Caenorhabditis elegans: one gene and its partners. The protein of the gene in region 4 purifies or fractionates together with the protein of the main gene of each other region. This does not show direct contact. Each region holds a gene or a part of one and is shown on either strand. Other genes may lie near its edges. The genes, in order: C25E10.8, mel-32, F13B12.4 and rcat-1.

Region 1 (7,020 bases), on a different chromosome or scaffold from region 4:
AACTTCCAGGGTGACTTTAATGTCTATAGTCATCATATATCTCAACTCGTTCGCAAACGGTAAGCATTTCTGTAACAAGATTTATTCGACTGGCCAAATCTGTAGTGATGTTTTATGGCAAACAAGTGAAATATAAATCTTGTATCATTGCAAAAAAGTAACCAATAATAAAACTATTCCAAAAATTTGATTCTTGGATGGTTTTTACTTTCACTTAATTATATTTTCGTTGAACAAATTTTGAATGTTTTTTTTTGTTTGCTCGAAAAACTTCTGATTTAATTTCTGATTGGCTTCAGCTATTACTTATGACTTTATTTTACATTTTCCAAAACACGCAGTTTTACCACGACTAACAAATAATTTCAGAAGACAAACCCAGATTGGCTCGGGAAAACCGTCCCTATACTATTCTCAGTACTCATTTAAATTTGAAAGATTACGATCGGCTTTGTTTGAATGGACCAACAGTGAAATGTTACGGAGAGACAGTTTGCAAAGTTGCAAAAGTAGAATGTCTTCCAAATAAAACATGTGATCCGTTGATGGCAATTTGCTCGGATAAATCTTTCGAGGACTATCAAGACAGAAAATTCAATTATACTTCTTCTCGTTAGGCACATTTCCTTTTATTTTTCGTAGTCACGCAATGCATTTTCCCATGTTTTCCTTTTTGATTGTTTTCATTCACTTCAGTTTATAGAAATGAAGTTACTTTTTCTGTTCTGTTATTTTATATTTCTGGCTAAATATTCACATTCACAACTACCAGATGCATGTGACTTTGTAACATGTTACGGTCAATCCATATGTATTCCTGTGCCTATTCCATGTATTAACAAGCCATGTCCTGTTGGCCCCGCTTGCAAGATTTTTGCATGTCCAGAAGGAAGCAATCCAAGAGATCATTCAAATTGTATTTTGCTAAAAAAATCGACACTGTGATGGAATTTTGTGAATTTCATACAGTGTAATAAATCAATTTTCAAATGTCAGAATAACCAAACGATTTCTAACAAACAATGCCAAAGTTTTTATATATAAGCTTGAGGGAATTGTCAAGAAGTTTGTAGACTTGCCAAAACTTGTACTTGAATAATCAAAAAGTTATTATCTGAAAGCTTCTTTTAAAAAATTTTCGACGGAGCAAACTGTTTTGAGAGCAAACTAACCACATAAACGTGTTTAAAATTATCAATTTTCAATAGGAGACTTCTCATAAATGAATTAGATTTAGGGGTATTGGAATTATTGGAACTGGAAAGTACCGTGTTTTATCTATTAGAATCACACCTATTGTTCGACTTTGGCAGCTGATCAGCGTATCTCAATTGTCGTTTGTTCTAAACAAAGATTGTTAGCTGACAAAATATTTATTGTTTGTTTCTTTTACTATTTTTTTCACAATTTGGAAACAACGTTAAAAATTTTTGAACGGCTGTACACAGTTTTTGAGTATTTTTGCGAGTTATTTTTATGAAGTTTCTGGCTTTTGGAGCTATTTTGAATATATTCAAAGCCCATCCCAGCAGTTAATCTTCTGTTCCAACAGTCTTGAGTTTTTGCTTGTATATAATAAAAATACTCAAATGGGCAACTTTCATAATAAGACTTCTCAAAAAAATTGCATAATTTTTGAGATTTCTCATTACCAAAATTTTGCCTAGGGCGCATTTTGAGTCTATTCAAGCAAAAACCGAAAACAGTTACTTCTTTGTTCTTCTCAGGCGTACTTTCGTAGAAAGTAATTTTGTAAATAACATATTTTTAAACTTAAAAAAACAGCACTCAAGAAATATTCCGGTCGGCTGAACTCTCTCCGGTCTCACCAAGTCATTAATCTTTTGACTCATCCTCGGTCTCACGCCTGTCAATTTTATTTCAATGATTGCTTCCTTCTCATAACTTCCCCACTCCGAAAGTTTCTTCAGAAATTCTTTCATCAAAATGGTGAGTGGTTTTTTCTTCATATCTTACAACAAATGAAAGTGTGTTTTTTCAGAATTTTCAATTATTTATTTTCTTTGCTCTTCTTGCTTTTGCTAGATCTGGAGTTCTTAGTGAGTACCAAGGTTTTATTTAAAAATCAAATGACTTATTTTCAGAAAACACAGAAAACATGCCCATTTCTCACACAGACGCACTCTGTGGTTCTATCAAATGTCCTGATAATTATAGGTTTTAATATTTCCAATTATAAATTTTAAAATATTTTTTCAGATGCGAACTGCCAGTCAGTGACTTGGAATGTGGTTCTGAAGACGATTGTTCAGTTGATCCAAAGTGCGTGCCAATCCGTAAGTGTAGTGAAACCAAAAATATCCAGTGGTTCTTGGAAACTTCCAGCAATCCGCAAACCGGAATGTGAGGGCGATGAAGAGCTCAAGGCGTGTGGCTCAGCGTGTGAACCGACATGTGATAACGAGAATCCAGTAAATCAACGTTGAGATTATGTATGATCATAAATTGTTTCTCAGGAATGTGATTTGGTGTGTATGACAAACGTCTGCCAGTGTAAGAAAGGACTCGTCAGAGACTCGGCAACTGGAAAATGTGTGGAGAAAAATAAATGCAGTAAGCTTCAAAATTTATTACTAGACTTTAACCAATTTAACCATCAGTGATTATTCGCTGAAAACCTGCACATAATACTAGTCATAAATTTTTCATTCAGGCAAATGCACTCTTGAATGCTCTGAGAACGAAAAATGTGAACTTGTGGAGCTGACTTGTGAGGAGAAACCATGCCAAATTGTGGACGTATGTGTTGCACAACATACCACTGAATAATATTTTCGATGATTAAAAAAAAAGTTGTTTTTCTCATATTTTAATATTGATGTTTTCATGCTAATGTTTTCAGAAAATTTAAAAATAACAATATTCGAATTTTAACATAATATTTGTATTCCTTTTCAATAGCCAAAAAACTTATGAACTATTCCGTGTTGCAATACAATGAATACAAAAAGTCAGTGTTAACCAAACAATGTTAAGTTGGTAATTATGGATGAAACACATTCGAAATACTCTCCAGTGAGCCAAGCCAAAACTATTTGCACCAAGCGATACGTTTTAAATTGATATCTTCTAGTGAATTGATTCATTAAAATCATTGGTCGGAATGAAATTTCGTAAGGTTCTCGATTTAATGTGTTTCTGATTTTTTCTGAATTTTCGAATACAAATTCTTCGAGATTTTTAAACCTTTGTTGTGAGCCCAATTTACAAAATAAATACGTGACCGGTGAAAGATAAATTTCTCTCCAAAAGATTGAGAAGACCTATAATATCTCCCATTCGATCTTATCATGTTTCTCGTATCATCCCTTCCGAAAAAAAGGGCGGTTCTGCCGTTTTTTAGTGTTCCGGCACAATAAATAGAGCCGTTAAAAAGCAAAACATCGGTTGGTTGCCCTTCGTTATTGTGAAAATGGTGAGTTTTTGAGTTTTTTTTCTAATATAAAAATTATACACTTACAGAGGATACTTGTCATAATCACATGCATCGTTGCTGTTGCTACCGCCACAAGTAAGTAAATATATGTGATTTGGTACTTGAACGGTTACCAGATCATAAATATTTTTTTAGAAACATGTGAAGCCAATGAGGAGCTGGTATCGTGCCATAATACATGTGAACCACAATGTGGATATACCCCTGTAACAATTAACTTAATGTGTCTCCCATTACTGAAAGTTTCAAAATTTAGAAAGCTTGCACGGAGCAATGTATCATGAACACATGTGACTGTAAAGACGGATTTGTTCGTAATTCTCTTGGAAAATGCGTCGAAGTATCTGAATGCACCAAGGAAACTACAAAATGCCCAGAAAATGAGACATTCTTTGGCTGTGGAACAGCTTGTGAAGCAACTTGTGAGAAACCAAATCCAACAGTTTGCACTAAACAATGTATCGTCAATGTCTGCCAATGCTCCAAAGGTTTCGTTCGTCATGGACTCAGATGCATTGATAAGAAAGATTGTCCAAAATAATTTGTTTTTGAGTAAACATTTCCAAGTTCAATAAACCATCAAATATTGGAAAAAATTCAAAAAGAAGTGTGATGAAGGAAACTGGAGTTGTGTGCTATTATTGATAACACAATTGTTACATCAGTATTATTTTTCCTGGCATGAAAAACTAAAAAAAACTCTGTTTGATCTTTTGGATTTATTGGTCATCGTTTTTTTTCAATGTCTATGTCTCTGGCAAACAAAAGGGCGGTTTTGATAGACTAGAGTCCTCTGCGTGATTTAGTGTTCTCGAACAATAAATAGAGTCATTTCAAAAGAAAACATCAGACTGCTGCATTACTTTTCTTTCTGTGATGGTTCGTTCTTTTTTTCATTAGAGCAATGCAAAAACTAATGAGTTTTTAGAGAACTTTTGTCATAATTGCCTGTTTTATTGCTGCTGCGACAGCTGCCAATAGTAAGTTTATTTTTAAATGATTATTGTTAAATATTTCTGGAAAATAAACATTTTACTTTTCAGAGACATGTGGAGCCAACGAGGAAATGGTTGCATGCCATGATCACTGTGAGACACAATGCGGATACACTCCAGTAATCTATAATTTTCCATGTTCTCCTATAATATTTAATTTTCAGAAAGTGTGTCTATCTGCTCAATGTATTGAAAACGCATGCGACTGCAAGAAAGGATTTGTGCGTAATTCACTTGGAAAATGTGTCGATATTTCCACCTGTACCAAGGAAACTAGCAAATGTCCGGAAAATGAGACATTCTTCCGATGCGGAACCGCTTGTGAGCCAACTTGTGAAAAACCAGGACCAAGACCATGTACCAGACAATGCATTGTAAATGTTTGCCAGTGTTCCAGTGGTTTTGTCCGAAACGGTTACAGATGCACCGAACTCAAGGAGTGCCCAAAGTGAACATTTTGTATTCACATTTGTGATAATAAATCGTTGAATTTCATATTCTGAGAAAAACCAACAAATTGCCAAATAGAATAACATTCGGTTACCATGAACTGGAAAAATGGAAACGAATTTATATTTCTTTTTTGGAACAAAACACAAACAATGCCGTGATCGTGATATCATTCCGATGGAAAACTGTGTCCGATCGGAGTACACAAAGTTTTCGTTTTTGGGTACAGATTACCTCACTAGAGTATTGAATTTCATTTGGTCTTATAGGTTCGATGCTACACACAAAACTTTTTTTAGGATTGGCAATTGTTGTTTCATAAACATTCCAAAAGCGACAAAAACAGACAGTTTAAATGTTGGCATCATATATTTTTTTGGAAAAAAAATTCGTTAAAAAATGCGTTAAAAAATTTAACCGTGTGGCAGAGCTGAGCTCATCCCCTACTTGGTTTCTTAATATAGGAACATACACACAAAAAACAAATAAGAAACTTAAGCAAGGAAATTATTCAAAAAAAGATCAATCATTCTTTTGTAATGTCTAGGTTAGAAAATGTCGTAGACGCTTAAAACTTTTTAATTCAAAAATCACGATTCTTTTACAGCAGCGTTTTTTCCAGGCACATTCTGGAAAATGAAAGACTACGCTATTTTACGTGAGCATTTGCAATTGTTTTCTACCTCGTAAACATAAAAATAATCACATTCATAAATACCAATAGGTACGCGTCAGAAAGGTTCTGCCAATTTCTGCACAATATCATTTGTCCCAGAAAAAATTTGGCAAAAGTTATAGGAAATTAATTTTTCCCTTTACTTTATATTTTTGAAACTTTTGACTTTCGACGCCTTTGTTAGTTTTTCTATTTAAACACATGACGTTTTCATGCCGTCATAGTATTTCGCTCATTATTTATAAACACGTTAATTATTGAAATACACATCTGACAATGCTCGAGTCTACAATTTTGAACCTCCGAGTTTGTATTTTGTATCAAATGCATATACTAAGAAATAAGTATGACAAAACATAGTGCGTAACTGAATGTCTCAATATTATAGTTCACTACAATATTACTTCAAAAATGAAACGAATTCAAATATAATATATACGTTTAGGTCTATACTATTTGAAATGCCAAAAAAACGTTTAACTTGACCTTTTCAATGACGCTTCAAATTTCACACCTACCGATGCGCAAAAGGAAATAGATTTTCGATGATGCAAAAAAGTGAGAGGCTCAAATTTTTTTTCGAGACCGCCGTCATTTTTGAATTGAACTATGAAGTTAAATAACTGCGTCTGTTTAAGCCCGTTAACAAAATGTATATTTTTTGTTTCGGGACTTTTGAGTTATACCTTTCTGCCAAAAAAATCGAATCAAAACTTTGATTTTAAGAATGCACTTACTTCGAAGTTAGAAAATTTCATGAGCAGATTTATTCGATATTCTGCGTTACCAAAAAAGTATTACGTACTTTCCATAATTATACATAAAATTTACGTCAATAAGCTTTTTGCACATCTAAATTATTGAGACCCGTTTTGTCTTCCGAACTTGTATCACTTTTCACTGAATTCCGGTACGATTTTACTAAATTACTTTTCAAGGAATCCATTTTATGCTGACATTTAGCAGATCATATATGATTTTTGAACGCAATTCACCTGTCTAGTTTCTAGGTATTTTTTAAACTAAAGTTTTCCCGTTTGACTGGTATATAAGCTCAGTTTTGGAAACGGTTTTATCAATAAAGTTATTTTTACATTTTTTTCAATAAAAAAAGTTGTTCTGTACTGAAAGCTTAACATCACATATTCAGTATTCAGATAATGCAATTTTATTCTAAGCCATACCTTTTATCATTTCTTTACAGTACTTCTGTTCTTAGAATCAAATTCAGTGTTTTCAAAAATACCTTTGGCAAAAGGGAAATAGAATTTAGTTTCTTCTTTAGCCAGTATTGGTGTCTTAATAAATAAATGTTCATTTTCATTATAACTTTGTGACTTTTCAAACAAACATAATGAATGTGTGAAGTTATGAGATGTGGCTGAAACTCATTCTAAATTTCCAATTCTTGAATATCTTTTCCCTCTCGTTTCAAATGAAAA
Region 2 (8,980 bases), on a different chromosome or scaffold from region 4:
CTTTTTTTTTGAGTGTTTCAGATTAAAAGATATATTCTAGAATTTAATCTCTAAAAAATGATTTTTCAGAATGTTGATCAATACGGAGGATCCTTCTTGTACCATATCGAGGATCAAGGACAACCACTTGTTTCCGTTGGTTTCGTTGTTGCTCTTGATTACGCGAATCCAAATCTCAATCCATACAAAGAATTCCAAAAATACAAAACTCATCCATCGATTTCTAAACAATTGGAAGGAGGAAAACGAATTGGGTACGGAGCACGAGCTCTCAATGAAGGAGGATTCCAAAGTATCCCGAAGCTTCATTTCCCCGGAGGATGTCTTGTTGGATGCTCAGCTGGTTTCTTGAATGTCGCTAAACTGAAGGGAACTCATAATGCAATGAAAAGTGGAATGGTGGCTGCTGAATCAATTTTCGAGGATATTCAACAAAAGGGAGAGGATGTGCAAACGATTGATCCAGCTACATATGACAAGAATATTCGTGATACTTATGTTGTTAAAGAGCTCAAAGCAACCAGAAATATTCGTCCATCATTCAATACTTCATTGGGATACATTGGAGGACTGATCTATTCTGGAATATTCTATGTTTTCGGTCGAGGAATTGAACCATGGACTCTTGGACACGGAAAGAAGGATAATGAGAAGCTCATTCCAGTGAAGGATGCAAAAGAAATCGATTACCCAAAACCAGATGGAAAGCTAACTTTTGATCTTCTTACATCTGTATCTCTTACTGGAACCAACCATACAGAAGATCAACCTGCTCATTTGACATTGAAAAATGATCAAGTTCCACTTGATGTGAATTTGGCAGTATATGGTGGCCCGGAGGCTAGATTCTGTCCAGCTGGTGAGATTTTAATACAAATTTGACTTTTAAAAACACATAAATAACTTTTTTTTCCAGGAGTCTATGAATTCGTCCCATCCGAAGCTGATGAATCAAAGAAGCGTCTCCAAATCAATGCTCAAAATTGCATTCACTGCAAGACATGCGACATCAAGGATCCTCAACAAAACATTAACTGGGTTACACCAGAAGGAGGTGGTGGCCCAAAATACGAGGGAATGTGAATCCTTTAGCTTCTCGTTTATGTTTGTGTATAATTTTTGTACTTATTTATTCGCCACTATCGACTCGTAGATTATGTATTTCTGTTCTTCAACGGTTTCTCTCAATTTTCTCTCATTTTCGTGTTCCCCATCTTTTGTAATGCCATTACATTTTTATCCAAACCAAATGAATAGATTTCTGATTAGTGTGTACTTGAACGGAAAAGCTTCAATATTGCCATAATTGTGGTACATATATACATTCATCCCACTACAGTATCCTTTTCTGAAAAGATTGCAAAGTGTTGTATAGAAGAAGAGACGCAGATAATCAAACAAGACGTCTGCGCTCGTGTATGTTTGTCTCTGGACAGACATACACACAGAAACACCGACAATGAAGATATGAAGACACACAGACACACAGAAAGCCGTCATCGATTCTCCTGTTTTCTTTGAGCCTTATTTATATTTTTCTTATTACTCCGACGCGTAATTTTGAGATTTTTGCGCCAAAAACGGTACCCAGTCTCGACATGATATTTTTTTTAATGTGATAATTTCAAAACGGTGCACACCTTTGGAGAGTACTTTAATTACAAACTTTTGTAGTTGCGGAATGTTCATCGATTTTCCATCGTATTCCGATGAAAAACATCCTTAACTATTGAAAACTCAAAAAAAAACACGAATTTTAACAGAACGTAAGAAAAGTATGAAAAATCATGAACGGTTCCACACCAACTAGATTAAAAAATTACAGTACTCCTTGAAGGCGCACAAGTTTTTCTCATTTAACTAAAACATGTCGTGTCGAGAATCGGCACCGTATTCTTGGCGCAGGAGTCGCAAAACCTCTGTCTGTGTATTTAGTAATGTAGATTTTCAAGTTTTCTGAAAAATTAATGTATATTTGTAAGTTCAGAATGAGTAGAAAAGATTGCAAAAATATTGTCGAAGACGAAGAAGAAGATGAGAAGAGTAATGGGAATAAATCTGAAAGTCCACAAAATGCTGGCCTAGAAGAAACAATTCAGAATTTTATAGCAACATTTTTACCTGGTTCAAGTGATGAGTAAGAGTAGTAAATAGCATATTAAAATTTTTTTTAAGTTTCAGACCTCATATTACGGATATTCCAAGTTCATCCGAACCTCAAGAAGGATCTAGAGAATGCAGACTCTCCAAAGAAGCACATCGGAAACGTCTGAGAAGAGCTCGTGAAACATCAGAGGAGACTCACACACGTCTTGCCAAGGCTGCAGACTATAAAAGGAAGAGATGCTCAGAAGAGACAGAAGAAGAATATAGAGAACGATTGAAAAGGCAAGCTGAAAGAAAAAAAATGGAAAGAATGCAAGAGTCGGAAGATCAGGCAAATAATCGAAGAATAAAGGCTGCAGAGCATCGACGCCAGTATCTGCAAAGGGAGTCATTCGAAAAAGCTCAGGAAAGAAGGAATAAGGATGCGGAACGGAGAAGGAAGAGTCTCCTGGCTGAAACTCCAGAAGAAGCTGAATTGCGTAGAGCCAAGAATGCTCAGAGACGTCGGGATGCTATTAAGAATGAAACACCAGAGGAAGCTGAAAATCGGCGACAGCGTGATGCAGCAAGAAGACGGCAATATTTGCAGACGGAGACTTCAGAGCAAAAATCAGCTAGGAAAATCCAAGATGCTGCACGAAAACGTCAAAATCGAATTTTGAAGCAAGCAGGGCAAAGTGAAGAATCACTTGCAGTCATCACGGGATCATTGAGCGATGGAACTCTTTCGGGTCTATAAAAATTAATTGAAAATTTTTTTAATAAATAAGTAGTTTGTTGTTTGACCTTTTGCTTTTAAAACCGATAAAATCGTATTAATTTTTTGAATCAACGGTCCGCTCATTTCCACCTATCAGTCTTTAAATTCTGTTGAATCGCAATAAAAACGGCAAGTTTCATCTCTTGTTTGCAACAAAACAGAGAAACTGATAAGACTGATAACGATCAGTGGTCTGATCGATAGTCGATTTCTGTTTTAACACATTTATTCTGAAGTTCTAGAATTTTATTTGTTATTTTAATATTTTCAGGCACAAAATGTTTGCAAGGATAGTGAGCAGAAGAGCAGCAACTGGATTATTTGCCGGAGCCAGCTCCCAGGTTTGTGTGTGCACTTTCGCGTGGGATCAGTTGTAAAATACGCATGGCGCGAATATTTGAATTTGTAAAAATTTTGCCCGCTCAAAGTTGCAATTTGCTTTTCTCTCCCCATTTTCATTCCCAAAACGGCACCGTCCATGGTTCACTCGTTGTTTCTGATCAGAAAGTGATCTTCATCATAATATCTTGCCATTTTCCGCCTTTCACTCAGTTATCTCGGGCTTGTCTCCGACTTGTCCAGCAATAGAAATATCGTTGACATTGACCCACAGGCGCCGCTTTTGTTGCTTTGATAACAACTTGGTAACTGATAAACTCTATTCACTTCTTTATTTTTATTTTTAATGATCATCTCTGTGATGTTGCATTGATAATCGTAGTTCTCTATTTTCTCCGCGTATATTTTTACCATAAGCTGTGAAAATGTCTTGCTCCGTTGTTTCTTTTTGCAGTTCTGAATAACACATGTACACGCTGCAGTATCGTTTGCACTTGTTTTAAATGGTTTCTTTGCATAGTTTTCTGTAGCAATGTTTTGTGTTTGCATTTGAAAGTTATCTGCATTATATTTTTGTTATTAGAGACCACTTTTTTGTTTTTATTACTAAGTTAGTGTACACTTGTTAAAACCACGCTCGAATACCTCTTTAATTACAATTTCTAATGAGTAACTTTTGACTTATCAGTTTTGATCTACGATCCGGGATGCGCCCAATCTCGAAAACTTCCCGGTTCAGATATCATCATAGCCTACCGCGAATCCAGTTTTATTCTTATTTTCTCCACACTTTCCCATGCATATACGTGTTGCCAACGCGTCAGCTTTTGTGTTGAATATGTTCCCGATTTTTTCGCTTCTTTGCTTAATTTAATTTGGTTTTACAGTGTAAAATGGCTGATCGTCAAGTGCACACACCATTGGCTAAAGTTCAGCGCCACAAGTACACCAACAACGAGAACATTTTGGTGGACCATGTTGAGAAAGTTGATCCAGAAGTTTTCGATATCATGAAAAATGTAAGACTTAATGTTTCTCAAATCTTAGTCATTTGTTTTTTTCAGGAGAAGAAGCGGCAGCGTCGTGGACTTGAGCTCATCGCTTCCGAGAACTTCACAAGCAAGGCTGTTATGGATGCTCTTGGCTCGGCAATGTGCAACAAATACAGTGAAGGATACCCTGGAGCTCGGTATTACGGAGGAAATGAGTTCATCGATCAGATGGAGCTCCTTTGCCAGAAGAGAGCTCTTGAGGTATTCGGACTTGATCCAGCCAAGTGGGGAGTCAATGTGCAGCCATTGTCCGGATCACCAGCCAATTTCGCAGTCTACACTGCCATCGTTGGATCCAATGGACGCATTATGGGCCTCGATCTTCCAGATGGAGGTCATTTGACTCATGGGTAAGGTTATCTAGATTAGACTCGAATGAATTATACATTTAATTTCAGATTCTTCACCCCAGCTCGCAAAGTCTCTGCGACTTCTGAATTCTTCCAGTCTCTTCCATACAAGGTTGATCCAACAACTGGATTGATCGACTATGACAAGCTTGAGCAGAATGCAATGCTTTTCCGTCCAAAAGCCATCATTGCCGGAGTTTCCTGCTACGCTCGTCATCTCGATTATGAACGTTTCCGTAAGATTGCCACAAAGGCTGGAGCCTATTTGATGTCTGATATGGCTCACATCTCCGGACTTGTTGCCGCTGGACTTATCCCATCACCATTCGAGTATTCTGATGTTGTAACCACAACGACGCACAAGTCGCTCAGAGGACCACGTGGAGCTTTGATCTTCTACAGAAAGGGTGTCCGATCTACCAACGCAAAGGGAGTTGACACTTTGTATGATTTGGAGGAGAAGATCAACTCGGCCGTGTTCCCAGGACTTCAAGGTGGACCACACAATCACACTATTGCTGGAATTGCCGTTGCTTTGAGACAATGCCTTTCTGAAGATTTTGTTCAGTACGGAGAGCAAGTGTTGAAGAATGCCAAAACCTTGGCCGAGAGAATGAAGAAGCATGGATATGCTTTGGCAACCGGAGGAACCGACAATCATTTGTTGCTTGTTGACTTGCGCCCAATCGGAGTTGAAGGAGCTCGTGCTGAGCATGTGCTTGATCTCGCTCATATTGCTTGCAACAAGAATACGTGCCCAGGAGACGTTTCTGCTTTGAGACCAGGAGGCATTCGTCTCGGAACTCCAGCTCTCACCTCCCGTGGATTCCAGGAGCAAGATTTCGAGAAAGTCGGAGATTTCATTCATGAGGGTATGTTTTTTCAACTGTAATCTTCAACATTAATCTAAAATATTGATTTCAGGTGTTCAAATCGCAAAGAAGTACAATGCTGAGGCTGGAAAGACATTGAAAGACTTCAAATCATTCACTGAGACCAATGAACCATTCAAGAAAGACGTCGCTGATCTCGCCAAACGTGTTGAGGAGTTCTCCACGAAGTTCGAGATTCCAGGAAACGAAACTTTCTAATTTTAATCATCATCGTCATTATCAACATTGCATTTGTATTTATAAAAACATTCCCGCCATTTTATCACTTTCATGTTTGAATTTTAAACAGGAGAAATAAATATTGATCTTTTCAAATTTAATTGTTTTTTTATATTTAGAAAGCAATTGAGATTATCTACGGCATTTGGCATAAGCCGTATGCTGAATTTTCTGAATGCCGCACACATCTGGACCCTTCTACAGTTCTCTCACAGTGATGTTTGGGGTAGCTGTTTAATGCAACGTTCACCGACTTTTTTCCATTTGTGTTTAATTCAAATCAGACCAGAACTTTATTTAACAAAACAAGCTACCGAAAGAAATAAATAAAACCAGAGCCAACAAACGGGGAAATGATGGAAGAATAATAAGAATATAAAAGAACAGGCAAACTAGCATGCAAACTGCAAGTCCGAAATCTTGATCTTGCTACTTCCTGGGAATGCCTTCTTCATCTCATTGAGTTTTGATGGATGAACAGCAATTGAACGGACAAAGCACTTCTCATCGAAAAGACGAGCCAGTGGTGGTCCGCCGATCTTAACCATCTCTTCCGATGTCAGATTCCAGATACGGCGACACAGATCACTGAAATCGCGGAAGTTGATACTTTCCTAGTCTTAGAATGTTTTCAGTAAACTCACATATTGAATGGATGGGGAGTTTGACGGAAATTATTGAGAATGCTGATCTTTGCAGCTCCACTCACAGTTCCTTCACGCTTCATCATCTCGAACACAGTTGATCTCTTTGCTCCCTCAAATTCTGCTTTGGAGATTTCACCGCTCTCGACGATTTTGCGCTGAAATTTAAAGTTATTTTAACGAAACTTATTTTTTTCTACTTACAATAATATCTCTGGTTCTCTCATAAGCCACTGCTGGCTGAGCGCATCTGTAGAGACTCAAAGTGATTTGCTTCCGATCGGGTTTCACAAATACGTTAGCTCCATAGGCAAGTCCATCTCCACGAATTGCACGCCACAATGGACCTTCACACTGAGAGAGATATTGTCCAAAGATCATTGCTGGAATCAACTCCTCTGAATTCCAGTTAGCATCAAGGAAGCTTGTTTGATAGATGAATGAAGACTCGGATCCACCAACTCCGATGAGAAGTTCCTTTCCGAGCTCAAGTGATACGTTTTCACCAGCTTCAGCTGAGAATTGATGTCCAGGTCCGAATCTTGGATCAGCTTGTACCCAGGTCCAAAGATCGGAACTCAACATTTTCGGATCAATTGAATCAACGTCAGCAACAAAATGAGCATTCACTCCGTTTGAGAAAAGAGCACTACGAACTTGTTCAAGCTTTTCAAGGACTGCTTCGGGATTCTTCATCACATCCTTCGATATTTTTTCATGAAGCTTCTCCAACACAAGTTCATCGAAGAGAATGCAATTGGTATCTGTAAAATATGAATGCACTTAAATTTTTAGTATAGAAATAACATACTCTTTCCATAAACCATTGAAGCTACTGCAGTTGATGCCACAGTACATCCATCTCTCTTCCGATCACGAGCTTCTCCAGCCAACTTTTGAGCACATTGATGAATTCTTGAAGGATCGAAGACGACTCCCTGAGTGAAAATTTGAGCCCATTTCGCAAGCAATGGATACTTGTCAGCTCCAACTTTGATACGAAGATTCACAAATCGATCATAAAGACCGGAGACTCCCACTTGAATAGAGTGATCAATGAGATCTTTCGTGAAATGTTTGGCAACATCATCAGCAGATGTCAAGACTCCATCGATCATGGCAGGAGATTCAAAAAGCAAATCTGTGTAGAGGAACAAGTAACTACGATCTTCAATTGACAGATTTGAAGAATCTAGCAGGAAGAAGATTTCCACGAATTTAGTTGGACAGTTGTGAAGATTCGCGTGGAATGGGAATTGAGCTAAGAAAGTTGATTGTTGAGGAGTAAGAGAAGGTGAGTTTGAAGTCAGGGATTGAACTGGGAAACGATCAAAAGCTTCAAGATCTTTGACGATCAATTGATCCAAAAGTTCAGCACTTGGATGATTGGCAGTGTTCTCAAGAATGGCAGCTTCCAGACTCTTTCCCGCTTCTTCGAGTCCTTTTTTGCCGAGCTTCTCACATTGGGCTGCTATTCTCTTCTCTTCTTCTTCAGCGATCTGAAATTATTTTATTATTTTTCCGGTTTCTATTTTCCATTATTACCTTATCAACTAGTTCTTCATTTGGAACTCCGATTACAGTAGCACTTGGAGCAGTGAAATATTTGTTGACCAACTGAACCCAATATGAAGCTGGCTCTGATTTCAATTTCTTGAGAAAATCAATTTCATTTGTTCTTTTCTTGAATAGCTCTTCATCCTCATTGTCGAACAATTGATGTCCAATAATGTGTGACATAATATCCTTCGGAGCATTTGTCTCAAGCTTCACAAGTTCATTGAGAATAGTTTGGTCGATAAGATATCCCATTCGTTCCATATCGAAATTAGCTTCTTCCAAATGCTCACGGACCGTCTTATCGAAAAACTTCGGAGCACATTCGTCAAGTTTCTCAACAGGAACTCCGGCAAAGTTCAAACGCAGGTCACAACGAACTCCTTCTGCAATATGGAATGAAACGGAGCTTGCAAGTGGATCCTCGAGAAGGATGAAATCTTTTTGAAGTGGAGCAACAGAAGTGTTCGACAGGTAGTCAAAGAGCACATGAAGTGATGAGTGGGTTTCTAAGTCTGACGGACTATGAGCAAACCAGGCAACCTCTACGGCTCCACGGGAAGCATCATCAGTTGGACATTCAACTCGGTGCACAGTCGATTCTTTGATATCAGAAAGAGCAAATGAGAAAGGCTTTGGGAAATGATCCGGTACAGTTGACATATGCTCATTTTCCACGTTGTTCATAATCTCTAGAACCTGATCATGATCAACCATTCCACATACAGTAACCACCATATTTGACAAATGGTAGAACTTTTTGTGATAATCACGAACTTTCTCCAGTGTGCATGATTCACGAAGATTCTTGAGACGACCTCCTGTGTCAACTGCATATGGATTGAAAGGTGGATAGATGACTTCCTTCGTCTTCCGATCCATGATTGATTCCATCTCTGATTCATGATCCTGCATTTCAGAGTAGACGACTCCCGCATCATTCCCTTCTCCAGTGATGTGATGGACTTCAGTTGCGAATTGAGATGCAGTCAACATAGGAGTAAGCAAGTGGTTGATATAGACAGGAAGGACTTTTAGGAATCCATCAGAGCCGACCTAA
Region 3 (8,418 bases), about 10 Mb from region 4:
AATGAAATGGGATATAATGCCGGTGCATCAACATCTCTCAATTTTTTGGTTTGCCTTTACAAAGCATATCAAACAAAGTAAGTTTATTTCTTTGGCAAGTTTCCTGAAAAAAGAATTTGATACAGACAAAAATCATCCAACAATGAATATCAGCTTACAATTGCAACTTTGGCTGGTGATCCCGGAGATTTTTATCATAGCACTTACCTAGATGACGGATGGGTTGATACACATTTAAATTATGTTGGCGGTGTGACTGCAATGGAATGTTGGAAGAAGTTAATACAAGAATCTATCGATACGGGATCCAATTTCTATTTGAATGGACTCACAATGTGTTCATGATGCCTTAATTATGTTGTTTTTTTAAGTTTGGCAATTTATCTAAATTTTTTTGAACAATGAATAATATTAAGTGTTTAATATTTACTCGTGTTGAACTAAATATTATAAATATAAATACCCAAATTTAAACTGATGATTCTCCATGAAAACCTTTACTGAAGTGAGAATCTACGTGCGTCTCCACCAAACAGTGCACCAAAGATTCTTTGAAATGACATCATAATTCATCGAAAGAACGGGTCTACAAGCAAGAAACGGTCGATATGCAAATGTACGTGTCTATTGGCACGATCATGTTGCCAGGTCAACCAGATAACGGAAAATCTATAAAAGCAGAATGGGGATAAGGATCCAGAATTCATATAAAGTTTCGCTTTTTATGTTTATTCCATATTTGTTAGAGTCTTTAGGATTTTGGTAAAATGTAAAATTACTACCATGGAGTTTTTCAGTAACTAGACAACTGTAGGGTGAAGCTTTAGATTGTCTCATGCCTATCTGCCTATGTACCTACGTACTATCTATTTTCTGAAAATTGGTGGTATTAAAATGTTACCTCATGCTATATGCTCATGCTATTAATTAAAAATAGTAAGAATGAAGCAGGCATGGTATTTTGGGAAAACTAATAGTAAGAAAATTAATTAAATAGTTCTTTCAAAATTATTAGATTTTCTTATTTATTTTTCCGAAAATATTTTACTTTTTTAAAGATCAAATCGACTATAGATTTTTGATTTCTCAACTTTAATACCTTCCAATTTTCTAATTTAATATCAACCTAGTATTTATTGAAAGCGATAAGATCAAGGGTTCACACCGTTTTATTCAATTTATCTTCTTCAGATATCTCTTCATAAGCTTAAACCCGTTCTTCTCATCTATATCCATTCTCTTTTCATACAATTATTAGTAGTTTCCATCCTCTTCTTTTATCCTAATCATAATTATTTGGCACATCAGGTACAAATCTATTGTTTTTCTTAATCTTCCTCCCACTTTTATGTTTGTCTAGTTTCCATGACTATCCTTTGAACCCAAAATTTTTCGTAAGATTAGGATTAAAAGTGCTCGGTGAAACCTATTTTCGATTTCAAAAAAAAAAAAAGAAGCAAAATGATGTCAATTCTTAATCTATCTACAGTAGGAAATGCGCGCGTTTCTTGATTTAATTTAAATTTCCGATAAGAAGCAAAAATCTGGAAAAGTGTGATGGAACTTTAGGCACCACATTTTTTGGTAATGAGCATCATGCTGCAAAAAAATGATTCGATCAAATCTAAAGGTCACATTTCAGAGCATTCATCGAGATTTGGTGGAACCGATTTAGATGAATGTGACAAATTTCTAGTCCGCAATTACAATTTGAACAGTTAGTGAACCTTGGTCAAAACTGGTGCAAGATTTGATAGCTGCGTCTAAGTTTGGTTCAAGTTTGATAAAATTTTTGCTAATCTCGAAATAAATAAGCTTGGCACGTAAAGTTGGGTGAGAGAAAGTTATAGACAAACAACCGGCTCCTAAATTAGATTTTTGGAATTAATAGATTGCATGAATATTTTTGGTACCTTTTTTGTTCAATTTTTTTCACAGGAATTAAACATTAAATGCATACATTGTTAAAAATATATAGATATGCGCATCACTAGTTTTCAAAATTGATTTTTTTTGTTCCAGGCCCTAAAAAATCAACTTCAACTGACATCACTCTTCTTAATAATTGAAAAAACGCCCGCGCATCATGGTTTATTTTAAACTTAAAGACAAATGAGTATTAGCAAAAGTGGCTTAAAAATGTTTGAAGGTTGTTTGAAACAAGATATAAATCTATTAATCGATGCAAGTTTCTTTAAGGGCAGAGCTAAATGAACAGTTCCGTTTTTTTCGCAGATAGCTTTCTCGGTAGATACAAATATGATTGTACATCTTCAAAGCGTCCCATAACTTAAACGTAATGGTAAATTATTTTTAATTTAAATGTGAAACAGTGAATAATTTTCCTAAATATGTTCATTTACAAAAATTAAAAATGACCGAATATCATAATGAAACAGTTTAGATTTTTTAAAAATTTCAATCAAAGTTTTTTTTGGTTGGTTTCTTTCGAGGCTATAGCAATTTTGGAGCTTTTTCAATGTTCAAACCAGAGATGTGCGGCAAAAAATATTTGTCCGCATAGTTCGGGAGATGCATTTTGCCAAAAACCCAGCAGTTGTCTTTTTTCAGCAACTTATGGATTTCCTTTTTTGGATATACAAATTTTCACTTTTTAAAAATAATAAATTAAACTCATTTTGTGAGTGTTTGTATAAATAGTTTTCGACAAATTGTAATTTTCGGGTGAAAAATCTGAACAAAATTGAGTTAAATTTTTAAAAACTCTTAAATTTCTAGAAAGTAATGTAGTCAAAATTTAAAACCTTTACTCTAGATTGAAAACGAACAGATGTTTTTCTGCAATCAAATTAATTAATTTGCAACATTTAAACCTCTTGACGTACTGAAATTGTTCTTTTTTGTTTATTTCCTTGTTCTCTTACAATTGGCAAATCTTTTGTTTGAAAGCAGTAACACATCATACTTTTCCAGACTAATCTCTTCAATAATTTCTATGAGTTTAAAATGAATTAAGACAAAGGTGCAAGAAAGATATGACATCATTTGACCTACATGCTTCATTTTAATTTGTATACCGCTTCAAAATGATATCATTTCAGAAGATGATGCGATTTGAAACAAAATTTGAGAAGCCGTAGTGTATGTAGTAGTTTTAATTAAATCAAATCATCTTAGTATAAACTGCTTCCGGTTTCCGGAATCTAAATTCAAATCAAAATTTTTTTGACTTGACATTTTTAGAAAAATGGCAAGAAACTGATCTAGAGACAACCAGACATCAGTGATCAGCTCCGATTCTTGGTTTACTTGGACTGAACAAAATACGTAAAACAAAGAAATTAACGAACGAATCTTTATTGTGCTTTAAAAGCATTAGTTGCAAGGAAAAGAACACTTGGAGGGTAGCTCAGGCTACTGTAACCATGATTTTATATTTTTGTTTTTTAGGTTTTCTGGGGAACTTTCAAATCTCCACAGGAAGATCCAAATCTGGGTGTTATTCGTTTATTCAGTGTCTTCAAAGATTTTTATCGTTTTGCAAATAACCTTCATATCCAAATTTATGCAACAATTTTGGGACTGGCGGATTTATTTCTAAACAATTATGGGAAATTCAATATAATAAAAATGTTCGAGCCTTATATATATTAAAAGTGCGGAAAGTTTGTATAAAAGTGGTGCCGAATTGCCGAGAAGGTTTTGAAACTCTCTAGCGTTTAAATTTCGACTGAAACTTAAAAATGGATTATCGTGTATTTTGGCAGTAGGCACGGGGCAGGCATATATCGCCTTGCACGCGGACAGACAGTCTCATGAAAAAGTTATCTTTCAGTTCTTTTTACCAACCTTAAATTTACTATATATTATTTTAGAAAATATCCTTTTACGCGCAATTTTTTGAATAGAAAGCTTCCTATGACATTTAGCAGAGTTTAAGAAAAATTTAATTTCTACATTTCAAAAATTAGAGAATTTTGTATTGTCCAGGTATTATTTTTTGTTTTGAAGCACTATTTCAAAATGAGTATCATTTCAAGTCATATAAGAAATGAGTTTAATTTTGATCAGCTTATCATTGAAACCGGAACTCTTGCAAAAAGAAAACTTAGATTCATAAATAGTCGCATCACTTATTTTTTTAATGTTTACTTTTCATTTCAAGTTTTTTATAAAGTTCACTTTCTAAACACTCCATGAACCATGTATACTATAATAGTTGTTTGACTCCGGAAACTGTGCTCTTTCATTAATTTGTGGGCGTGGTCATGCTCTTCATTGCGTTCGAAATTTCAATCTTCCTACTGTACTTGTGGGCGTGACCCCGGACTTATAAAAGAAAATTCCAATTGATACATCAATCACAAATTTAATTCATCGTTTTCAGCCATGAAACTACTTCTTCTGGCTCTGTTTCTGAGCATATCCGCAAGTTGCCTTGCAGAAGATATAACAAAAATTTCTGAAAGTCGAATTCCGAATGAGGATGCTGTACCTGATTGTTAGTTTTTTTTTTCTCAAGGTCTTTTTAATTCAATAAACATAAAATATTTTTAGATGAAGCAAAATGGAGGCTCGGAGCAATTCAAAAATTATGGAATGAACGACGAAAGATGGGACACACACCAATGACAAAATTCAGTCCCCCTGGTTTCCCGAACGCCGACATTTTCTTCAAAAATGAAACTGCCACAGCTACGAGAACGTTGAAGCACAGATTTGCATGGGCTCTTCTTCTTTGGGCTATTACAGAAGGTTAGTATGTTATTTAATTGGTGAAGTACAGTGTATCTGCGAAAACTTATATTCTGCAGGTTTTTTACTGCTAAGCTATGAGTATGAGAGCTATGAGTAAGCTAGTCCAGAAACGTTAAATAAATAACATTTCTCAAAAAAAATTTCTGCAAATTTTAAAATTTCCAGGAAAAGTGACTTCAAAAACATCCGCTGTCTACGACTCAACATCTGGTAATACTGGGTCTGCTGAAGCCTACATGTGTACTTTAGTCAATGTCCCATACTATGCTGTCGTTGCTGATAATTTGGAAAAGGAGAAAGTCAAGCAAATTGAGAGTTTCGGAGGAAAAATTATCAAGGTACTTCTTCTACTTACACAGAGTCACATACAGTATTTTTGGTTTAATTTTCATTTAATATTGACCAATTTTTTGAGTTAGCCAAAGTTTTTCCAGTTTTTAAGAACTCTAACCCCAAAACTTTCTCATTCAACTCAACGCCAATTTCTTATAAAATTTCTTTATAGAGAAACAACTTTTATTGTGTGAAATTTCGCGTTAAAATTTTTAAAGATGAGGGAAGCGTTGTTAAGAAAGTTGGAAAATGTCGAGAAAGAAGCAGAAAAATAAAAAAAATTATTGTAAGTTTTGCTTTGTTTCAGGTTCCTGTGGCTCTTCGCAATGCAAAAGCTAAGGAATTCGCCGACAAAAACCACGGATTCTACATGAATCAATTTGGAAACGCTGAAAAAGCTGAAGAATTCCATGAAAGTGGAGACTTTTATTTTGAGTCCACAAATGTCTATCATGAAATTATTGTTCAACTCAAAAAGGACAAAGAGCAAATTGTCAAAATCCCTGACTACTTTGTTCATTCAGCAGGAACCGGTGGAACTATTTCGTCAGTTGGCAGATATGTCGCTAGATATGGAGCACCTACAAAAGTCGTACTCTCCGATTCTCAATACTCTTTATTCTACGATTATGTAATTGGACATAAATTCACAAATCAATCTGGTGCAGGTATTTGGACACCTCCAGGGATTGCTGGAATTGGTTACGGATATGATATTGAACCAGTGTGGTACGGAGAAACAACAAGTTTAACAAGAAATGTAATCCATGAAGCCATGAAAATGCCTGATATTGCATCAGTAGCTACAATGAGAATTCTCGATGAAAAAGGTTATAATGTGGGACCGTCAACATCACTCAACTTCCTTGTTTCTCTTTACAAAGCCTATCAGAACAAGTAAGTAATTCAAACTGACATCATTGCAAACTAATCCGTCTAGAGTATTTATTCGTTGTCTTTTGACGACTTAAGCGTTTACTAGTACATTTAAATTTTTGCGTTAAAAAATATGTTTTAATAGTTTAGTTTACGCAAGCGTATCAATATACCTTGCGTATACCTTGGCTATCAAATCTTGATGAACACAATTTTCAGAGCCAGAAAATCTGCTATCAAGCATCGTCTTACGATTGTTACACTGGCTTGTGACCCAGGAGATTTCTACCGTAGTACGTACCTTAACAACGAATGGGTCGAGAAAAGTTTCAAGAAGTTTGGAGGTGTTATGGGAATGGAATGTTGGAAAAAGCTGATTCAAGAATCAATTGATACGGGTTCTGATTTCTATTCGAAAGGTCTCACTATGTGTCCAGGAGCTTTTAAAGTTTAACTGTTTTGCATTTCTGTGTTTTTGTGTCTCTCCGTATTGTACAGGTTCGTAATTGATCAATTTTAAATTAGATTGTTTTTTTCGAAAATAGAACTCATAGTTCCAGTGATTAAGTCTATTCCCGTGCATGAGTTTTGTGCTTGCTTTGATCTGTATTCAAGTTTAATTGAATAAACTATTTATTATTTAATTATCTGAAAACGCAAAAGTTATAATATTTGCACATAAGGCAAATATGAAAATATACACAACAAAAATTGACCAGTCGACGCCGCGAACAACAGGTTGATCAAGAAAACCATATTGAAAATCAATTGAATCTTTTTTGCGACCATCCGGTGTGTAGATGATTCCTGAAAACAGAAATTGTGATTTTTCAAAGTTCTAAAAACTGACCTGTCAATGATCTTTTCGAACAAATGAACATTTTCTTGCAAACTTCACAATATGTTGGACATTGCACAATATGTGTTGAATTATTGTCAAGAAAAGCCAACCCATCGTAAAGAGGACAGCTGACAACTTTATTTCCGATCGAAAATTGAAATATTTCAGTTTTGTTGCAAACTTCGTTCTGAAATGCGGACTTTACTTACATGGCGAAAATTTTAACTCACTTGAATACGGTACATTCTAGTTGTCTTGGAAACAAATTTAGGAATATCTCCCGTTCTCATTAAGGAAGTCAATATGTTAACTTCATTCGGATCTTTCTCGAATAGTTTGATTGCTATCTGAGTGCAAATTACATTAGTATGCAAAAATGTTTTACAATAGATAATTTGCAATGAAAAATGCTGCCGACAATTGTAATTGTTTTTTGAAGTTTTAGCAATGAAAACGCCCGCCCGCCTTGTGTCCAGTTTCAATCACCTTACAAAACTTACTTTTAGCGATTCCACATATTCTATTTGAAAACTAAAACAACACAACACGAAAAGATAGTTTTTAATATACATCTTTATTTGAAATAATGTTCCATAAACTTTCAAGTTGTGCAATATTATTCCACGTTTTGAATGTTTCGTTTAAAATAATAAATTCCACGCGAAATTGCTAGAACGTTGTTTGAGATCGTATTCTTCTGAACCGGTTCGTGTTTTCAATTTCAGACATAATCTCCTCAAATCTAGTTCGAATGAGGTCCGTCTCGAGGCGTTTCCTTTTACGGTCAGCTTCCTGAAAATTGTAGAAATTTCAAATGTTAGGTACAGTAGGGTAATTAAAAACTACGTTCCCACGAGTTAGATGCTCAGCCAATGCTCGGTGAATTGGCTCCTACTCAAAAACCCTATTAACTTTCAAAAACCGCTCTTCCATAGAAGTTTTACGAAAATTTATTTATCTATCTACTGATATAATCAAAATTAAAATTGAACGTCTCACACTAGAGTGTACATAGCTCACCGTGTGTCAGTTAACCAATAAAGACAAAAATATTGCAGGAAACTCACCAAAATGCTCATTTGCTCTCTGACTAATTCCACTGACTTTTTCTCATCTTCTGTAGGACCATCCCATCGATTCGGGTTAGATATTAATCCATTCATTACTGCTTCATATTTTCGATTTTTCCTCCTTTCTTTTGCATATACTTTCCCTTCGAAAATGTGTAAAATTTTCATAAAGTAATTGGGTATAACTCCAATGATTGGAATTTTTGATAGAAAAAAGCAAAAAGTTTTGAGAATGTAAAAGAGCAACGAGAGTGGTGCAGGAATCCATAATTTTTCTTCATACCTGGAAATAATGTGTCTTGCTTTTTTTCTTCCTCAGTTGAACTCACTCAATCAACCGACTATACAGTTTATATTTCCAGTAAATATGTGAAACTTTGTCAATATCTTCATACTTTTTCCTGGAAATTTCAACTTTTATCATTGGGTTTTCTATTCTTGGAGTTTTCCATTACGCCCTGATAACATACGATAAGAGTGCGGTAACCAAATTCACAAGGAGTACACTTGAGACCAACATGTAACAGAATAAGAATACAGGTATCATACTTGTCTGGAAATTATATTTTCATGAAAGTT
Region 4 (7,979 bases):
AGTATTGAATGGAGCACCACCAGGTCCTACTGGCCCACCTGGAAAGGTCGGTCCACGTGGATTGTCTGGCGGAAAAGGACACGATGGTAAACCAGGACTTGGTGGGCAACCAGGTGTCCGAGGAGCCGTTGGAGCACGTGGAGATGCTGGAAACCCAGGACTTCCAGGACCACAAGGACCAAAGGTATGTTTCCGATATATTTTCGAACATTTTGAAATTAGTCATGACTTATATATGAAAGAATATAGCACGTATGTCTCCTTTGTAGTTTGTAGTCTGGATTTTGAAAAATGTTGTGTCTTTGCCTTTTGAAGGGATATTGGTTTGGAGTTAGTAGAAGGATATGGTCACGGTACCGTAGTAGTACTGTAGGGATACTGTAGGAGTACTGCAGGATTACTGTGGTTTGGGAAAATTCAATTTTCGTCTTTTGAAAGGATATTGGTTTGGAGTTAGGAAGGGGATAAAGTCAGGGTACTGTAAGATTACTGTAGGTGTACCGTAGAGTTATTCGGCAGGAATTTAAATGTTCTTAGAAAACGGCAATTCAAATTTAGTGAGAAAAATTTTGGCGAGAATTCACTATTTCTGAGAAAAAAAATTTTGGCGGGAAGTTCAATTTTTCTAGAATAACTGGAAGCTCCTAGAAATTCTAAAAAAATCTGGAGACTTCAATTACTTTTTTTTTAAGTCCTAGAATATTCTATTAAAAATCAAAACTCATATAACTTTCTTAAAAAATCTGGAAGCTTCTAGAACTTTTGAAACATTTGAAAACTTTTAGATTTAGTATTAATACATTTGTTATTGAACCAATCATGTGTTTAACGGAAACAATAATTTCAGGGAGAACCAGGAAATCCAGGAACGTGTCATCACTGCCAAAACAGAGCACCAGCACCTTCCGAGGCACCAGGAAAAGCTCCACCTCCTCCACAAGACTATACCCGTCCAGCACCAGAGTCGTATCCATCGGCTCCAAATGGGCAATATCTTTGGATCCATTAAATATTTTGCATAATTTTTGACTCATTGTTTCTCTTTTCGTCTTATTTTTCGCCGAATGATTCGAATGTGAGACTTGAAATATCATAAATCTTGTCAGGCAGCTGTGCCGAAAAAATTGTTTTTTAATCTACGAAAATATCGAAATTGTTTCCCGTAAATCGACAAGGGGCTGAGGTTTCTAGACCACACGGCCGTGTACTCCTCTCGGACAATGGATTAATTTTATCTGCTATAATTTTATTTTTCGATTTTCACACGTTTTCCAGTCAAATTTCGTAATATTTCATAATTTTTTATCATTTAAGACTCGAAAATGTCGATAAACTTCACGAGGACACCAAGATTATTACTTGACACAGTAGGTAATTCCATTTTTCTAGTTTTTTTCGAATTTAAATAATTAAAGTTAATTTCAGCCCATTACTCATCATTCTTGGAAAGCACAAAGCTTGTAAAGACTCGGGAAGTGAAGAAACCACCCAGATATCCAAACTTTTCACTGAAAAAAGATACGAAAAGTGGGGAGATTGCTTACTTTTTGGCAAAATAACTTTATTTTAATCTTTTCAGATCAAAAAATGAGCCAGCACTTTGATTATCTTCTAGTATTAGACTTCGAAGCCACGTGTCAAGATAACTGGAAAGGGCCGATGCATCCAGTCCAAGAAATCATCGAATTCCCAGTGGTCCAGCTCTCGACGGCTGATTGGAGTGAAATTCGTCGTTTTCATCAATACGTTAAGCCGACGGAATGTCCAAGGCTCACATCTTTCTGCACATCTTTAACAGGAATTATTCAGGTTTTTAATGCAAAAATTTCGAGGAAAAAATGCTAAAATTCCAGGAAATGGTTGACGAAAAACCGACGCTTCCACAAGTTTTATCGGAATTTGATAGCTGGCTGAAAGAGGATTCTCGACTGGAAAAGGGCAAATTTGCATTCGTCACTTGTGGAGATTGGGATCTGAAAGTCGCGCTGCCGAATGAGGCGAAATTTAAGAATATTGGAATTCCAGAGTAAATTTTTTAGAGTAAAACTGACAATTTGAGGCTGAAAATTCGTACAATTTGACTCTAAAAATCTGAAATTTCATTAAAAAACAATCATTTTTGTCCCACGAACCGCACAAATCCAAACAAATTGTCCTTCAGGTACTTCAATCAATGGATCAACGTGAAAAAGGCTTCTGCGGAGCACACAAATCATTTCGCGAAAGGAATAGCCCAGCTTCTGGCCATCTACAAGCTGCAACATCAGGTTTTCTACTGAAATTCTGAAATCTCAGCAAAATTCTAATTTTCCAGGGTCGCCACCACAGTGGAATTGATGACGTGGCAAATATCTGCGAAATTGTCCGGTGTTTGGGCATGAACGGGCACAACTATCAAATCACAGGCTCCAAAGACACAATGACGCGGAGGGTGTTCAGAGATGCGAGGAAATAATTTTTGTCGATTTTTCAGCAATATGTATTAATACGAAATATTGACTTTTCCGCCATTTTTCCGTTCAGAACAATAAATCTTTGCAAAAAATATAGCGAGAATATCGAATTGCAAGTACAGTTTCACGTATACGTTTCTAGAAATTAGATTTTTTTGGAAGTTTTAATCTGTCAATTCTCTCCGCCATGAGGAAGTCTACACACTGAAGAAGTTTCGCCACTTTCTTCCCTTTTAAATTGATTTTTTAACCGCTTGAAAATATTCATAAAAAGTTTTCTCTCTCGGTCCAATCTGAAAAAAAATTGCAACTTCAGTTGTATTTAATAAAGCTTTATAAGACACAAAAAATATTATTTCAAACATCGCGCTTAAAGTTCTCTGCAATGGAGCGGACTTGCAGACACGCAACGCGAACACGCGACGCGTCGAAGTGACAGGATTTACGAGCGTAAATCCTACCAATCGTTTTAATTTTCTATTTTCCTCTGATTTTTGTCAATTTTCCATAAACTTTTAGAATTTAACGCAAAAAAATTCACAAAAGTGAATGCCAATTTTTCTGGAACTGATAATCCTTGAAAACACGTATTTTTCACTTCCGGATATAGAAATGTTTGAAAATTGCAGGAAATGACCACAAATCCTATCGAACTCGAGTCCTGCATTATTGATCAGATACGATGCCCAGAATGCGCCCTAACATGTCTACAAAAGAATATCTATCGTCACATGACACAGATTCATAATTGGACAACTGAAGATTGTCAGGAACTGATTGCCGCTATAAAATCTGAAAAAAAGAGCCGAGCATCTAGCACATCGTTTGTTTGCTGCCACTGTAGGATGATATTTCGAAGTGTCAAGCATCTGGTTCAGCATAAAAAGGTAATACAACCCTATTCTTCTGGAAAACTAAATATAAAAATTGGATCTTGCAGATGTGCACTGAACAACCGCAACATGACAACGAGCATCTTGATGTTTATATAGATGAAATGATTGTTGAAGGAGAAGAAGAAGTTGTTGGAATCAATGAATATGATATCAATGAAACTAAAGAATCTACACAAAAACCATCCACATCATCTGGAGATAGTTTCGAGATGAATATTCCGCCACATCGACAAGCTTCTCGTCCAATCCAGCCACATCATTTAACGCAGGAATGGTTGGAATTAGAAAAAATAAAGGTTTCTGTCAAAAACTATGATTTTCAGCCAAATTGCCACCATTATTGAAAAACCTTCAAAATTCTCGTTAATGCAACTACCAGGAAAATATCGTGGATGTAATTTAAAATGTCCCGAATGTTCGAGTACATCAGAGTCGTTGGATGAATTTTTACTGCATTGCCGTCAAGAACACATGTCCCATGATCAGAAGTTTAATTTAGAACGAGAGTTTTTCCAATCAAGAGACCAGTTTAAGGTTTTTAAATATTCTCGATAAAATGACAAAAATCTAATTTTAGGAATGGTTCGATCAGAGACAGGAGGACACATGTACATCGTTGACAAAACGTACAGGACATGCTGGAGAAACACTTTATAGGTGTCATCGTGTCGGAAAGTATCAAAGTGTCGCAAAATCCAGGAAATCGAATCCCAGGAAGATTGACCAGACTTGTACAGCATATTTGAAAGTAAAACATTTTTTAAAAAATTTGTTTTAAAATTTTGAAAAATATTTCAGGTCACAACAGAAGAGGACGGTTCAACTTGGGCAACTGGATGCTTTACTCATATCGGACATGATCTTGATCACAAACTTCTATGGCTCACCGAATCTCAGGAAAAATATGTTCGTGAGCTAATTGACTTGGGATGGACTTCTGATCAGATCTTCTTCTTTATTCGGAATGAGTACAAGGACTACGAGTGTAAATTAAAATATATCTCAAAGAATGATATTAGGTGAGGGTAATCATCCGAAACAGTAGGCAAATATAATGTTTTTTGCAGAAATATCACAGTTCGGTACAATAGAGAACGGGAGAAGCTTGGTTTTTTAACGGACACTGCAAAATCTTCTGCGATTCCGATTAGTTTGAAAGAGCGGCGAGCCGTTGCTGCAGATAGTACGAAAGAACCGAGAGAAGAAGATGATGATGAGGTTAAGGCGAAAATTCCAAGGATGCAAAGCAAACCTGATAACATTGAAAAGGTTTACAGACGGTTAAATTGTTCTGAAAACTCAAAAATTGAATTTTCAGGCAACTACTTCAGAAAATAATTCTGCAAAACATCGCGAACAAGTTGTGGATTCAGAAACTGCGGAAGAAGATGAATATATCAACGTAGTTGATGTGGATACGATGCCACCAAACGATGCTGGAAAAATCACAATTGGCTTAAATTTTTAGTCGATTTAATACATTTTTGCGATATTAAATATGTTGTTCTTGTTATTTATTCATATCATGAAAGTTTATTAGATAATTCAAATCGAAAAAGAGTTATATCTCAAATGCCTGACAATAAACGCTGTATGCTGATGGCTGAAAAAAATTTGGGCAAAAATAAAAAGTTGTCTGGTTTTGTTGAAAACGGGTAATTCATGTATGCTGAATTCAGAAAATCTAGGTTTAACACATCAAAAACTATTCAAAAGTGGCAAAAATGCACAATTTTGAAACTCCTCTAAAATGGGCAATTTTGTAGTTAGAGGACTCAAAATTGATCTCCCAATACTAAAAAGTTTCCCTTTTTCAAATTCTAATGGTTCTGTACAATTTCAAAAAAAAAAATTTCTTGCCCAAAAAAAGGGCAGTCATATATTATTTGAATATTGTCCAAATTTGTTGAAAACGGGTAATTCATTTATGCAGCGTTCAGAAAATCTAGGTTAAACCTATCAAAACCATTAAAAACTGGCAAAAATTGGGCAATTTATTGTAAAAAATCACTCTATTGAAACTCCTCTAACCGGCGGCAGCCGATGTCGAAAAATACAAAACACCTGTCGAAAAATGTAGAAAAATATATTTTGTATTTTTCAATATCACATGAATAACCCCATTACTTTTTATGTAACTGATATGTCATGTTAGCAGACCTGTAGCATTGTATAATCGGATATTTTAAAAGGTTGACATTACATTTTGCTCCTTACAAAATATGGAATAAAATATGTGTTGTTAGCATAATTTTGAATGTTCAAATCTGATTTTATAAGCGCAAACTACTGTCCGCATGATTATGGGTCACACTGTATCTGGAAAATGTGCAAATATTATAAAACAATTGTTAATTTATCTTAAAAATATGCGGTTATAATGCGTGTGTGTTACTCGATGTGAACCAGTATCCAGTATCTTAACATGGAATAATCGCAAGTGTCAATTGACGGCTTATGCCAGTTTTATCGTATGTTCCTTTTTCCACAAATCTTTATCTTGTAGCAAATTGTGATAAGAAACTATTAGGCGATCAAGTAACTCAAACAAGAAAAACGAGTATAACACCAGGCTATGAGACATATATAATCTTTTTGAATCCAGCAATAGAACATCAAAAGTACCCAATGTTTCTCAAGTTACTTTTATTTTTATCTATATGCCACGTTGCATTCGCATTTTTCTTTCCAAGAGTCACACCTAATGATGGATGTGGTTGTGGATGTGGAGGAGGTGGAGGTGGAGGAGGTTGTTGTGCACCACCACCACCACCGCCGTAAGTTTCAATATATTAAATTAAACTTAAGTACAAGATTTTCAGAGTGTGTGGCGGTTGTGGCTGCGGAGGCCGTAAAAAGAGAGAAATCGGACATGTCAAAGGACACTTGGCACATAGAGATAATGATCAGGAATGGAATAATCAATGCAACAGCTTAGAGTTTTCGGATGTAATAGTAAAGGTAGTTTTGAAACATAAACAGTTAATTGCAACTACCACTTTTTCAGCATCTCCGAACGAAATCATTGTCGACATCTCGAGATTTCATTTACAAAGAACTTGACACAGCATTCCCAGACTCAATGTTCACTGTATTTTGTCTCCAAAACTCTACTGTTTCATATCAAGCAGATGCGAAGAGATACTGTATGGAGAAGACAGCTGACAGGAGTTGTTACGTTTTTGAATTTTAATTCAGTTGATTCATATGCCCCAATAATAATGTATATTCTAATATATGAAGTCAAAAATTTTATTCGGTCGACTTGATGGAAGCACCCGCGATGGGGTTTGGTGAAAAGTGAATATATTCACTTTTCATATATGAGAGAGGAAATATTCGATAAAACATTAAAAAAACGGGTGAAACTAGTCAGTACTCAGTACTATACTACAAAAATTGAAATAAATCGAAATAACATGGTAATAGAATATGGATAACAAGCTACATTGGGGTAATTGTGTGTGTTGGCACAATTCCAAAGTCACGAAGACGCTTCAATGCTGGACGGTAGACTTCCTTCAGAATTGGTCGTTGAATTCCTGCTCTTTGAATTTCATTGTTTAGAACCATGTGTGAGACGATGGCAGTTGTGTAACCAACAGTACGAGCCATAGCGGAGAAACCATTTGGATTGCCGTATTGAACCAAACTGATACGATGACGTTCAGAGTTTCCACCTGAAAAAAGATTCAATAGGATACACGAAAAAAAAATTTAATTTTGATTTAATGAAAAATTAATTAATGCGTATTAATCCTGACAAGTTTTCGAAATATATGTCTCACCTGGCAACTGAGCACCAATATCATGATTCAACACAACCAAATCCGATTCATGATCCTTGAAAGCAAGAATCTTTGCCAAATACTGAGCAAGAGTATCGATCGGAGTTCCGTGACGATCTACAACCTTGTCAGAGAACAAGCCAAGATTTTCAAGCGCAGATAAGCCCTTTCCACCAACTTTCTCCTCAATAATGTGTCTCAAAGAGTCTGGGAAGATATCGAGCTTCTGGTTACTCAATGAGGCAATCAATTCTTTCCATGTCAAATCTGGTCCAATGTTAGATGTAAATGAATCAATGTTGTCGCCAGAGAGAAGTCCAACAGAGTGAAGGGCCTGAAGACATAAACTATAAAACAAGTCACCAAATAAACTTGACTCACCTTAACAGTATCTACGAATCCCTGATATCTGAGTGTTCCACGGATGATTGTCTTACAGTCATTTCCCAATCCATAAACATCTGAGTATTTTGTCGAGTCTCTATTTGGGAATCCAATCAGATTAAGTCCAGGCATGAAATCGATATCAATCAAGTTATCAACCACAGATCCGGACGGAACTTCAACAATCTTCCCATTCTTCAAATACTTGGCCGGATTCATCAAAGCAGTCAAAACGCCCTTTGGTGACCATGAGAATTTGTATCTCAAAGGATTATCAGACCATTCTGGAGCTGGAAGTCCTCCACAGAAAGATTCAAAGGAGGTGATCCGTCCTCCGTGTTCCTTGATGTCATCGAAGCATTCCATTGCGAGCATGTGATCTATTCCAGGATCAAGACCAGCTTCATTCATAATCGTAACATCAGCGTCTTTGGCTCTGAAAGCTTGCAATTTGCTTT

What was found.
Region 1: the proteins of rcat-1 (region 4) and C25E10.8 fractionate together in Caenorhabditis elegans (co-fractionation; one large-scale study listed by BioGRID). This does not show direct contact.
Region 2: the proteins of rcat-1 (region 4) and mel-32 fractionate together in Caenorhabditis elegans (co-fractionation; one large-scale study listed by BioGRID). This does not show direct contact.
Region 3: the proteins of rcat-1 (region 4) and F13B12.4 fractionate together in Caenorhabditis elegans (co-fractionation; one large-scale study listed by BioGRID). This does not show direct contact.

What each region holds. Positions count from the first base shown.
Region 1 is NC_003283.11:9,051,246-9,058,265, reverse strand, and holds C25E10.8 (TIL domain-containing protein), read left to right. Parts: upstream 1-4,196; 5' UTR 4,197-4,333; coding exon 4,334-4,336; intron 4,337-4,385; coding exon 4,386-4,437; intron 4,438-4,500; coding exon 4,501-4,571; intron 4,572-4,616; coding exon 4,617-4,904; 3' UTR 4,905-5,004; downstream 5,005-7,020. Other genes in the region: C25E10.11 (INSulin related), read left to right, coding at 10-59, 370-617; C25E10.10 (TIL domain-containing protein), read left to right, coding at 1,948-1,950, 2,003-2,060, 2,106-2,178, 2,221-2,297, 2,347-2,432, 2,478-2,574, 2,675-2,790; Serine protease inhibitor swm-1, read left to right, coding at 3,434-3,436, 3,484-3,532, 3,593-3,663, 3,714-3,998.
Region 2 is NC_003281.10:6,436,980-6,445,959, reverse strand, and holds mel-32 (Serine hydroxymethyltransferase), read left to right. Parts: upstream 1-3,144; coding exon 3,145-3,207; intron 3,208-4,092; coding exon 4,093-4,224; intron 4,225-4,269; coding exon 4,270-4,607; intron 4,608-4,655; coding exon 4,656-5,479; intron 5,480-5,531; coding exon 5,532-5,698; downstream 5,699-8,980. Other genes in the region: let-721 (Electron transfer flavoprotein-ubiquinone oxidoreductase, mitochondrial), read left to right, coding at 70-859, 917-1,083; C05D11.13 (Vicilin-like seed storage protein At2g18540), read left to right, coding at 1,989-2,137, 2,176-2,845; C05D11.1 (uncharacterized protein), read right to left, coding at 6,112-6,307, 6,364-6,521, 6,568-7,127, 7,175-7,862, 7,909-8,976. UniProt on the Caenorhabditis elegans protein: Interconversion of serine and glycine.
Region 3 is NC_003282.8:10,442,735-10,451,152, reverse strand, and holds F13B12.4 (Putative pyridoxal-phosphate dependent protein F13B12.4), read left to right. Parts: upstream 1-4,348; 5' UTR 4,349-4,350; coding exon 4,351-4,462; intron 4,463-4,518; coding exon 4,519-4,716; intron 4,717-4,884; coding exon 4,885-5,057; intron 5,058-5,359; coding exon 5,360-5,949; intron 5,950-6,147; coding exon 6,148-6,382; 3' UTR 6,383-6,568; downstream 6,569-8,418. Other genes in the region: cyts-1 (Tryptophan synthase beta chain-like PALP domain-containing protein), read left to right, coding at 1-77, 126-345; F13B12.7 (Neprosin domain-containing protein), read right to left, coding at 6,569-6,735, 6,779-6,956, 7,000-7,059; F13B12.3 (Ion transport domain-containing protein), read right to left, coding at 7,439-7,561, 7,837-8,122, 8,169-8,240, 8,310-8,392.
Region 4 is NC_003282.8:250,533-258,511, reverse strand, and holds rcat-1 (C2H2-type domain-containing protein), read left to right. Parts: upstream 1-3,082; 5' UTR 3,083-3,085; coding exon 3,086-3,340; intron 3,341-3,393; coding exon 3,394-3,623; intron 3,624-3,672; coding exon 3,673-3,883; intron 3,884-3,926; coding exon 3,927-4,097; intron 4,098-4,147; coding exon 4,148-4,368; intron 4,369-4,416; coding exon 4,417-4,618; intron 4,619-4,667; coding exon 4,668-4,817; 3' UTR 4,818-4,893; downstream 4,894-7,979. Other genes in the region: dpy-9 (Nematode cuticle collagen N-terminal domain-containing protein), read left to right, coding at 1-184, 848-1,009; R02D3.8 (Exonuclease domain-containing protein), read left to right, coding at 1,323-1,371, 1,426-1,527, 1,580-1,809, 1,854-2,026, 2,162-2,267, 2,315-2,455; grl-19 (Ground-like domain-containing protein), read left to right, coding at 5,978-6,126, 6,172-6,310, 6,357-6,542; aass-1 (Saccharopine dehydrogenase), read right to left, coding at 6,794-7,029, 7,138-7,471, 7,519-7,957.